Canis lupus familiaris: one gene and its partner. The protein of the gene in region 2 interacts with the protein of the main gene of each other region in a biochemical or structural test. Links are inferred from orthologs where the notes say so. Each region holds a gene or a part of one and is shown on either strand. Other genes may lie near its edges.

Region 1 (3,799 bases), on a different chromosome or scaffold from region 2:
GCTTGAGTGATGAGCTCCGGAGGCTACAGAGGGAGGTAAGGGCAGCAGGCTTGGTGGGAGTGGGGCTTCTAGCATCCTGGTCCTAGAGGATCCCCTGCCCCCAGAGGTGGGGGTACTCCTGGAGCCTCTGGAGGTTCTGACACCACCGTGCGCTCTCAGATCCACAAGCTGCAGGCAGAGAACTTGCAGATTCGGCAGCCGCCGGGGCCAGTGCCCACACCCCCACTGCCCAGCGACAGAGCAGAACATACATCGATGGGGCCTGGTGGGAGTGCCCACCGCAGGGACCGCCAGGCCTTCTCCATGTATGAACCAGGCTCTGCCCTGAAGCCCTTTGGGGGCCCACCTGGGGACGAGCTTACCACCCGGCTACAGCCTTTCCACAGCACTGTGAGTTGCCTCTGGGTGTCAAGGATTGGGGGAAACAGGGTTGGAGCTGCCATAGGGTCCTCTGTGATGCCTATTGTGCCATCCCCCCAGGAGCTGGAGGATGATGCCATCTATTCAGTACACGTCCCTGCTGGCCTTTACCGGGTAAGCAGGGCTTGGGGGAAGTGGATCCATTTCTGCAGATTGGTTCTTAGTCCCAGTGGGTGCCAGGTTTTGTGCCAGCTGCTGGGCACAGGGATGACTAGATACACGTGTCACCCCCCTCCTCCTTACTGCTGGGAAACTGGAAGACAGGTGGCAGGGAGGAAGAACTGACTCCAGTCCCCCTGGGTTTCAGATCCGGAAGGGGGTGTCAGCCTCAGCTGTGCCCTTCACTCCCTCCTCCCCACTGCTGTCCTGTTCCCAGGAAGGAAGCCGTCACACGGTAACATTCCCATTCCCAGTTCCCATCACTAGTGCCCGAGGGACAGGCTGAATGAGATGTGTGCATGGAAACGGACAGGCCAGGCCATGTGGGTCTATGAACATGTATGTCACCTACTACCCCTTCCCTGATCCTCCAGAGCAAGCTTTCCCGCCACGGCAGCGGTGCTGACAGTGACTATGAGAACACGCAAAGTGGGGACCCGCTGCTTGGGTGAGGCACCCCAGGGAAGAAGGCTGAGTGGGTGCTGGAGTGTCTGGGAGGGTGCAGGCAAGCAGCCTCACCACTGGAATATCTCTTTCTAACCCTGACCTCAGACTGGAAGGGAAGAGGTTTCTTGAGCTGGGCAAGGAAGAAGACTTCCACCCAGAGTTGGAGAGCCTGGACGGAGATCTCGACCCTGGACTTCCCAGCACAGAGGATGTCATCCTGAAGACGGAACAGGTCACCAAGAACATTCAGGAATTGTTGCGGGCTGCCCAAGAATTCAAGCATGACAGGTATGCGGGTGGGATGCAAGGCTCCTAGCAGCCCCTGGGCATTGGAGAGGGTAAGAGGGGGCCACTGTTCCACTGTCGCTGCAAACTCTCCTAATTTTTACCCTCCCCTCCTCCCAAAGCTTTGTGCCCTGCTCAGAGAAGATCCATTTGGCTGTGACTGAGATGGCCTCTCTCTTCCCAAAGGTACTGGGGCCAGAAAGTCTTGGGGTGGGGCAGGTACAGGGAATGTGACTGCTACCTAGGTGGAGATGAGGACACACTGGGCCATGTTCGAGGCTCATTGTTTGAAGTTCAAGGCCCAACTCCTGCCTCCCCTCCAGAGGCCAGCCCTGGAGCCTGTGCGCAGCTCACTGCGGCTGCTCAATGCCAGCGCCTACCGGCTGCAGAGTGAATGCCGGAAGACCGTGCCCCCAGAGCCCGGTGCCCCTGTGGACTTCCAGCTGCTGACTCAGCAGGTGATCCAGTGCGCCTATGACATCGCCAAGGCCGCCAAGCAGCTGGTTACCATCACCACCCGAGAAAAGAAGCAGTGACAACTCTCCCTGCACCCTCACCTGCACCCTGGGACCTCACTGGCCATGGGAGCTGGGCCACTCCAGACACTAATCCCCACCCTCACAGAGCTGCTGGCACAAGTACCCTCAGTGCTGCCACCCTCCCCTGGCAGCCAGGTGCCCCGGTGCCCGCCTTCCTCGAGCCCCCCAAGGATAGGGAGGTGGGGTAGCAGGAGCTTCTGTCCCCCACATTCCACACACCTCCTCCTGTACATAGCATTCCCCTCCCCCCCTTCTAGCGTGCAGGGGCCTGTAAGGTATCACTCCCAGCCCCTGGCCCTCTGGGGCACCCCCAGCAGAGGGTCGGGTAGGGACACTCCAAGTAGGACGGTTCCCCCTACAGGCACCCCACCCCCATGAGCCAGTTCAGCCCTACTGGGGGCTGAACGGGGGCATCTCTTCCTTTGTACATAATCTCTGTGGATGTCCCCCCATCCTGTAGCCACCAGCCCCCCTGCTGCTGTCCTTGAATGCCAAATGGCCCCTGCCGAGATCACTGGCCCCAGCCTGTGTTCCCAGGGTCCCTAGCAGCAAACAAACACTGGAAAATGTTTTTTTTTTCTCTCTCTCTTCCACTCCTTAATTTTAACATTGTGGTAACTGAGTGTCCCTGCGTGCTTGTGTGTGAGTGTGCGGGGCGGCAGTGCCGTTCCGGAGGCCTGGCCCATCTGGAGTTCTATGAAGGGTGAGGGGACCAGAACAGCAGGACCAGTGTTGGGGATCATCCCCCCTTCCCCATCCTGGGGCCAGGGACTGCTGGTAACCAGCTGGGGTCCAACCCATCACCTCCCCTCATCTGTCCCCCCACTCCTACCCCTTTCTCTATGAACTTCTAACAAAAACCACTTCCCTACATTTCTCCACCCCCTCCCTTGTGGAGGAGGATGTGCTGGCTGGGGCAGAGAACTAAGCGTCTGAGCCTGGGGCTGGCTCCCCGGGGTCCCTGACTCAGCTGAGAGCCCCCTTCCCATAACCTCTGAGAGGCCAGCACCTGCCCTGTGGTATCTGGGTATCTGGAATCTGAGCTGCAGCCTGGGAGCTGGAGAGGCAGATGGCAGTGCCTACCAGCTCTCCCTGTCCCCCTGGGGCCAGGCTCTACCTGTGTGGTGGTGGGTGGGCTGTCAAGACATGTGTCATGTACATTTGTATCAAAAATAAATAAGTGACCGTGTGCTCTTGCTGATGCTTACAGAATCGGAGGGAGCAGGGGGTATTGGGGAGGTGGCAGACACAAAAGGGAGAAAAAAACCTGGCAAGAGCATGAAGCAAATGAAGACCACAACTGTTCCAGACCTGAAACTCGAAAGCCCTTGTGTTCTAGAAAAGGAGCTGGGAAATAAGGTTTCAGTCGCTAACGCTGCCTCCCCCTCCCCATCATGGCAGCAGGTCGGGTTCTATCCCACTACTAAAACTGGCCAAGGCCAAGTGGGCAGGTGGAGGCAGGCTGGTGGGGGCCTAATGATTTTTTGGTAAAAGCCCACTTCAATGGCCCGGAACAGGGTCCTAGGTGGGAGTGTCTGTGTGGCAGATGCACCAGCTCAGCCCCAGACTCTACCAAAATAATTTAATTAGAAATACAGGCAAGGGAGGCTGTGGGCCCCTTCCCTCAACCCTCGGTAGCAAGCCACACCGGAGGCGGAGGGACAAGCCCCTTTGCGATGCTTAGGCGGGAAGCGCTCCGGCCGGCCGCCAGGGGGCGGTCCCGCGCAGGGTCCACGTGGCAGAGGTCGCGGCCTCCTGGGCAAAGGTCCCCTTCACCACCACCACTGCAGTGGCAGGGCTGGGGCAGGTCAGTCGGAGCTGTCCCCGTCTGGGCCGCTGTCCGGCGAGGGCGGGAGAAGGGGTCTCCGGCGGGAGCGCTTGAGCCGGCGTGGGGGCAAGAGCAGCCTCCGCTTCAGCACAGCTGTGGGCGGGGTGGGGCGATCAGGGAA
Region 2 (3,905 bases):
TTATCAATCTTTCAGGAGAACCAGCTACAGCCAAGAAATGCATTCAGGCTGGCAATTACTCATTTACTAATTTAGCACTGCAGACCGACGGTGGGAGCACAAGCATGTGCTTATGCAGGCCTACCTGAAAGGACCACAAAGGCGCCTATTACGGGTAACTCAAGTGGCACCTAGGCGGCTGTGAACACCCAAGTAACCTCTGTGTCTCCGGCATGCTCTGTGCCACTCGCCTTACACTTTCCTCTACCCTCTACCCTCACCTATCATGACGTCCTCACTCAGCTCCACAAGGAGAGGCTTTGAAACTAGTCCAAATGTCATATACTAAGATTAATGGCTTCGGCGTCACTTCAAGCTTACAATTCTCATCGGCCAAGAAGAAAGTTCCGAAGGAATTAATCTCTGTCTCATATCCTCCACAACAAACTTCATTTATAAAACACAGGTGTTCTTAGAAAAGTGGACTGTAAAAATATCTTTATCTTTCCTGTGAAATCAATCCTATCTATCCATTAAATTTCATTAGAAAATGGGAAATGCGATAAAATCCATAAGAAACACAGGTTGAGCAAGAAAGGCCTAAGACGACAGAATGGAAGGCAGCACGCAGCTTGGATGCCTCATGGCCCTTGTCCAAAAACTTCGGAGCACTGTCCCAAATTAAGGCAGAAGAAAGGAACAAGAGTTACGAGGTGTTTAAGTATAGTGCACCACAGCTTGTCTTCCCTCAGAGGTTCAACCCTCGGGAACCCTCTCTGCACATGACTTACAGACACCAGAACCACAAGCAGCCCAGGTGGCTCAGCAGTTCAGTGCCACCTTCGGCCCAGGGTGTGATCCTGGAGACCTGGGATCGAGTCCCACTTCGGGCTCCCTGCATGGAGCCTGCTTCTCTCTCTCTCTCTCTCTCTTTCTCTCTGTCTCTCATGAATAAAGAAATTAAATCTTTAATAATTAAAAAAAAAAACCAGAACCACCATTTCACAGACTCATGTAAAACATGAACACCATGAAAGGTGACACCATAATTTAGAAGGGGAAAGAAAGATCTGTAAAGTTCCAGGTGAAAGGCATCCATACCTGTGGAAGTGCAGTATTGAGCTGCCTCTGCAAGGAATCTCTTTCATGCCCGACCTCATGTAACTTCCCCTGGGTTAATGCCAGCGTTTCCTGAGTCTCTCTCAGCGTGTCCAGAAGACGGTCCCTCTCCTCCAGCATGGACACCATCAACTGTTCGAAATGTGAATCTGCATCTGGCTGCGAAGGAGAGCTGGACCCACGGCTCCCACTTCCTCCTGGCAGGCCTTCTGCTTCACTGATGGTCGGCATCACCTCGCACATCATCTTGAAATAAAACACCCAGACTCCAGTCATTAAGTGCAAAATAAAGGCTCCCACAAACCTGCAACTTTATTAGCTCTCCGTGCTGCTCATAAAATGAAGGTTGACAGCCTCGTTATTCTCAGATCCGACTGTTACACTCTGAGTATAAGTAAGCGGAAAAAAACATACACAGGCGAATCCTGAGTGTGGGAACAGATTAATACGTGGGATAGTGCAGGGCAGGGTAGAGACCTCACAGACTACCCCTGGAGTACAGAACCAACCCTGGGGCGTTTTGTCTGCAAAGCTGTACTTTCTGGTTGTTGAAAACAAGTGTGCTTCTGCAACTTACTTTTTCCCCTTTATTTCCCGGTTCGGGGAGAGAAAGTCAAAACACATGCCACCCAATCATGTTTCGGGAAAAGCACAGAAGGAGCATACAGCCAGTAAAACTGACAAGTACAAAATGCATCAGGCATCTTGGAGGAATGTGTGCAGTCAGCTCCCGAGGAGGACTGGCGGCTCCCTCGGCTTCGGGCCGGACTGGGTGAGCGCTCAAAGGCACCGGATTCGTTAAGGGCCGGGAAAGGTGTTTGTCAGTGGCTGCAAAAGGTGTGACGGTCAGGCAACCCAACTTACGTAAGTTTACGGCCGGAGGGAAAAAAAGAAAAGAGTATTAGAAAGGAAACTTGCACACCGGGCATGGAGCAGGTCGGTGCGGCCGCGGACGGCTAGGAGGGAGCGGAGGAGGAAGCAAGACGGAAGAAAGGACAGGGAGGAGGACGGAGGAGAAGGGAAAGGGGAGAAGGAGACGCCGCCAGCGAGGCCCACAGCAGGCGGGCGCCGCGGGAGGAGGCTGGAGCCCCGGGGGCGGCGACGCCGCGACCGCCGCGACCGCCGCGACCTCCTCGCCCCTCGCCCAGCGCCGCGCTGCAGGGCCCCGGGCCCCGGACCCCGGACCCCGGACCGCGGGGCACCGCTGACAGCTGGAGCGCAGCCCGGGCCGCGGCTTCCCCGGCCACAGGTCCTCGGCCCCCGAGCCCGGCGCGGGGCTGACCCGGGGCTGACCCGGGGCTGACCCGGGGCTGACCCGGGGCCCCCGGGGCGCCGCGGCCCCAGGAGCCCGGCCTCGGGGCGCCCCGCCGGGGCCCACCGCCTCCGCGCCCGGGGGCTGACAGCGAGCGCCGCCGCGGGGAGGGGGCCGCCGCGGGGAGGGGCCGGCGCCCGGGCGCCCGCGGCCCCGCTCCGCCCCGCTCCGCCCCAGCCTGCCTCAGTCTCCCGCTCCTTACCTTGCTCGCCGGCGGGAGCGGGCGAGGAGGCTCCGCGGCGCCGTGCGGGCGGCTGCTCGCTCCGGGCGAGCTCGGGGCCCGACGAAAGCGGCCCGCGCCCGCGCCCGCCGGCCCCGGGCCCGCAGCCCCCAGTCACCAAGGCCGGCCCGCGGCCGGACACTGCCTGAGCGCAGGAGGAGCGGGCCCGGCTGCGCGTCGCCGGCGTCAACGTGCCCGACGTCGGGCGCGTCGGCGCAGCGTCAGCGCCGAGCGCCGCCGGCCGGCCCCGCCCCCCGGGGGTTGGGGAGCGCCGCGGAGGCCGGGCGCGCAAGCCCCGCCCACTCGAGGGGCGGGGCGGGTCCCCCGGCGCCCATTGGCCAGGTGCGGGCGGAGCCCCGCCCCCGGCCCCGCCCCCCAGGTAGGGGCCTTCTCCACCGAGCCGGAGCTCACCTACCGCGGCTCCGGCCGCCCAGAGGCCGTTGGCAACGTCTACCGTGCGTCGGGTTCTGAGCCAGCGCCTTCCTCGAGGCGGGTGCGCCCCGGCGCGAGACACCTGCTGGCTGCCTCCTCGGGGTCGGACCCTCCTCGGGACCGACCGTTCCAGGACTCAGAAGGTCGCGGCGTCTACGCGGGGCCCTTACCTGCGATTCCTGCGGATGCCCAGTGGGCACCGTTTGATGCGGAGATTCCTGGGCGCGGCGTGGGGAGTGCAGGCTCGCCCCTGCGCGGTGGCCTGGGCAGGTCAGCGGAGCCCGCGGCGCTCAGCGCCCCACCTGTATGATGTGAAAACGACACGGCCTTACTCCTGGGCTGCTAGAGCAAGTGGGATCCCACGGGGGGCGGCTCCATTCACGTCCTTATTCATACTCACTCATTCATTTCCTTCTTTGGGCTACTTTGTGCTTTCCAGGTACTACATCATGAATGCACATTATTTTTATCATTAGGGAAGCCCCCTCCCTCCCCCACCCCCCCAATAAATGTTCCTTTAGTAAAACCTAGGCAAACATAAATCATGGAAAATAGCTTTTGGGAAGCTAAAATGCCTTTTCTGTGTACCTATACCACCCAACTAAACTATTTCCCCAAAGTATTTATCCAAAACCTGTTTTAGAGATGGAGTGGCACCCTTGTAAGGCTTAGTCAAGAAAACGAGCCATTTTCCCTAAAATGGTTTTGCTCCAACTCTCCCGTCGAAGGCTTGATAAAGAAAACCCAGGAATGTGGGAGGGGAGGGGATAGATAGACCAGTACTATGGCCAGGGTCGTGTTTTTACAAATGTGCCCACCAGCCTCAGCTCTCTCATGATGTGG

What was found.
Region 1: the proteins of PPFIA1 (region 2) and GIT1 form a complex in vitro, tested with the Homo sapiens proteins (2 studies listed by BioGRID). The link is inferred for Canis lupus familiaris from reciprocal best matches to the Homo sapiens genes PPFIA1 and GIT1.

Annotation. Positions count from the first base shown.
Region 1 is NC_049230.1:43,647,291-43,651,089, reverse strand, and holds the end of GIT1 (ARF GTPase-activating protein GIT1), read left to right. Parts: coding exon 1-35; intron 36-159; coding exon 160-390; intron 391-480; coding exon 481-534; intron 535-727; coding exon 728-814; intron 815-953; coding exon 954-1,027; intron 1,028-1,131; coding exon 1,132-1,314; intron 1,315-1,433; coding exon 1,434-1,497; intron 1,498-1,634; coding exon 1,635-1,847; 3' UTR 1,848-3,039; downstream 3,040-3,799. Other genes in the region: TP53I13 (tumor protein p53-inducible protein 13), read right to left, coding at 3,659-3,771. UniProt on the Homo sapiens protein: GTPase-activating protein for ADP ribosylation factor family members, including ARF1.
Region 2 is NC_049239.1:48,513,472-48,517,376, forward strand, and holds the start of PPFIA1 (liprin-alpha-1), read right to left. Parts: upstream 2,707-3,905; 5' UTR 2,613-2,706; intron 1,345-2,612; coding exon 1,081-1,344; intron 1-1,080. UniProt on the Homo sapiens protein: May regulate the disassembly of focal adhesions. May localize receptor-like tyrosine phosphatases type 2A at specific sites on the plasma membrane, possibly regulating their interaction with the extracellular environment and their association with substrates.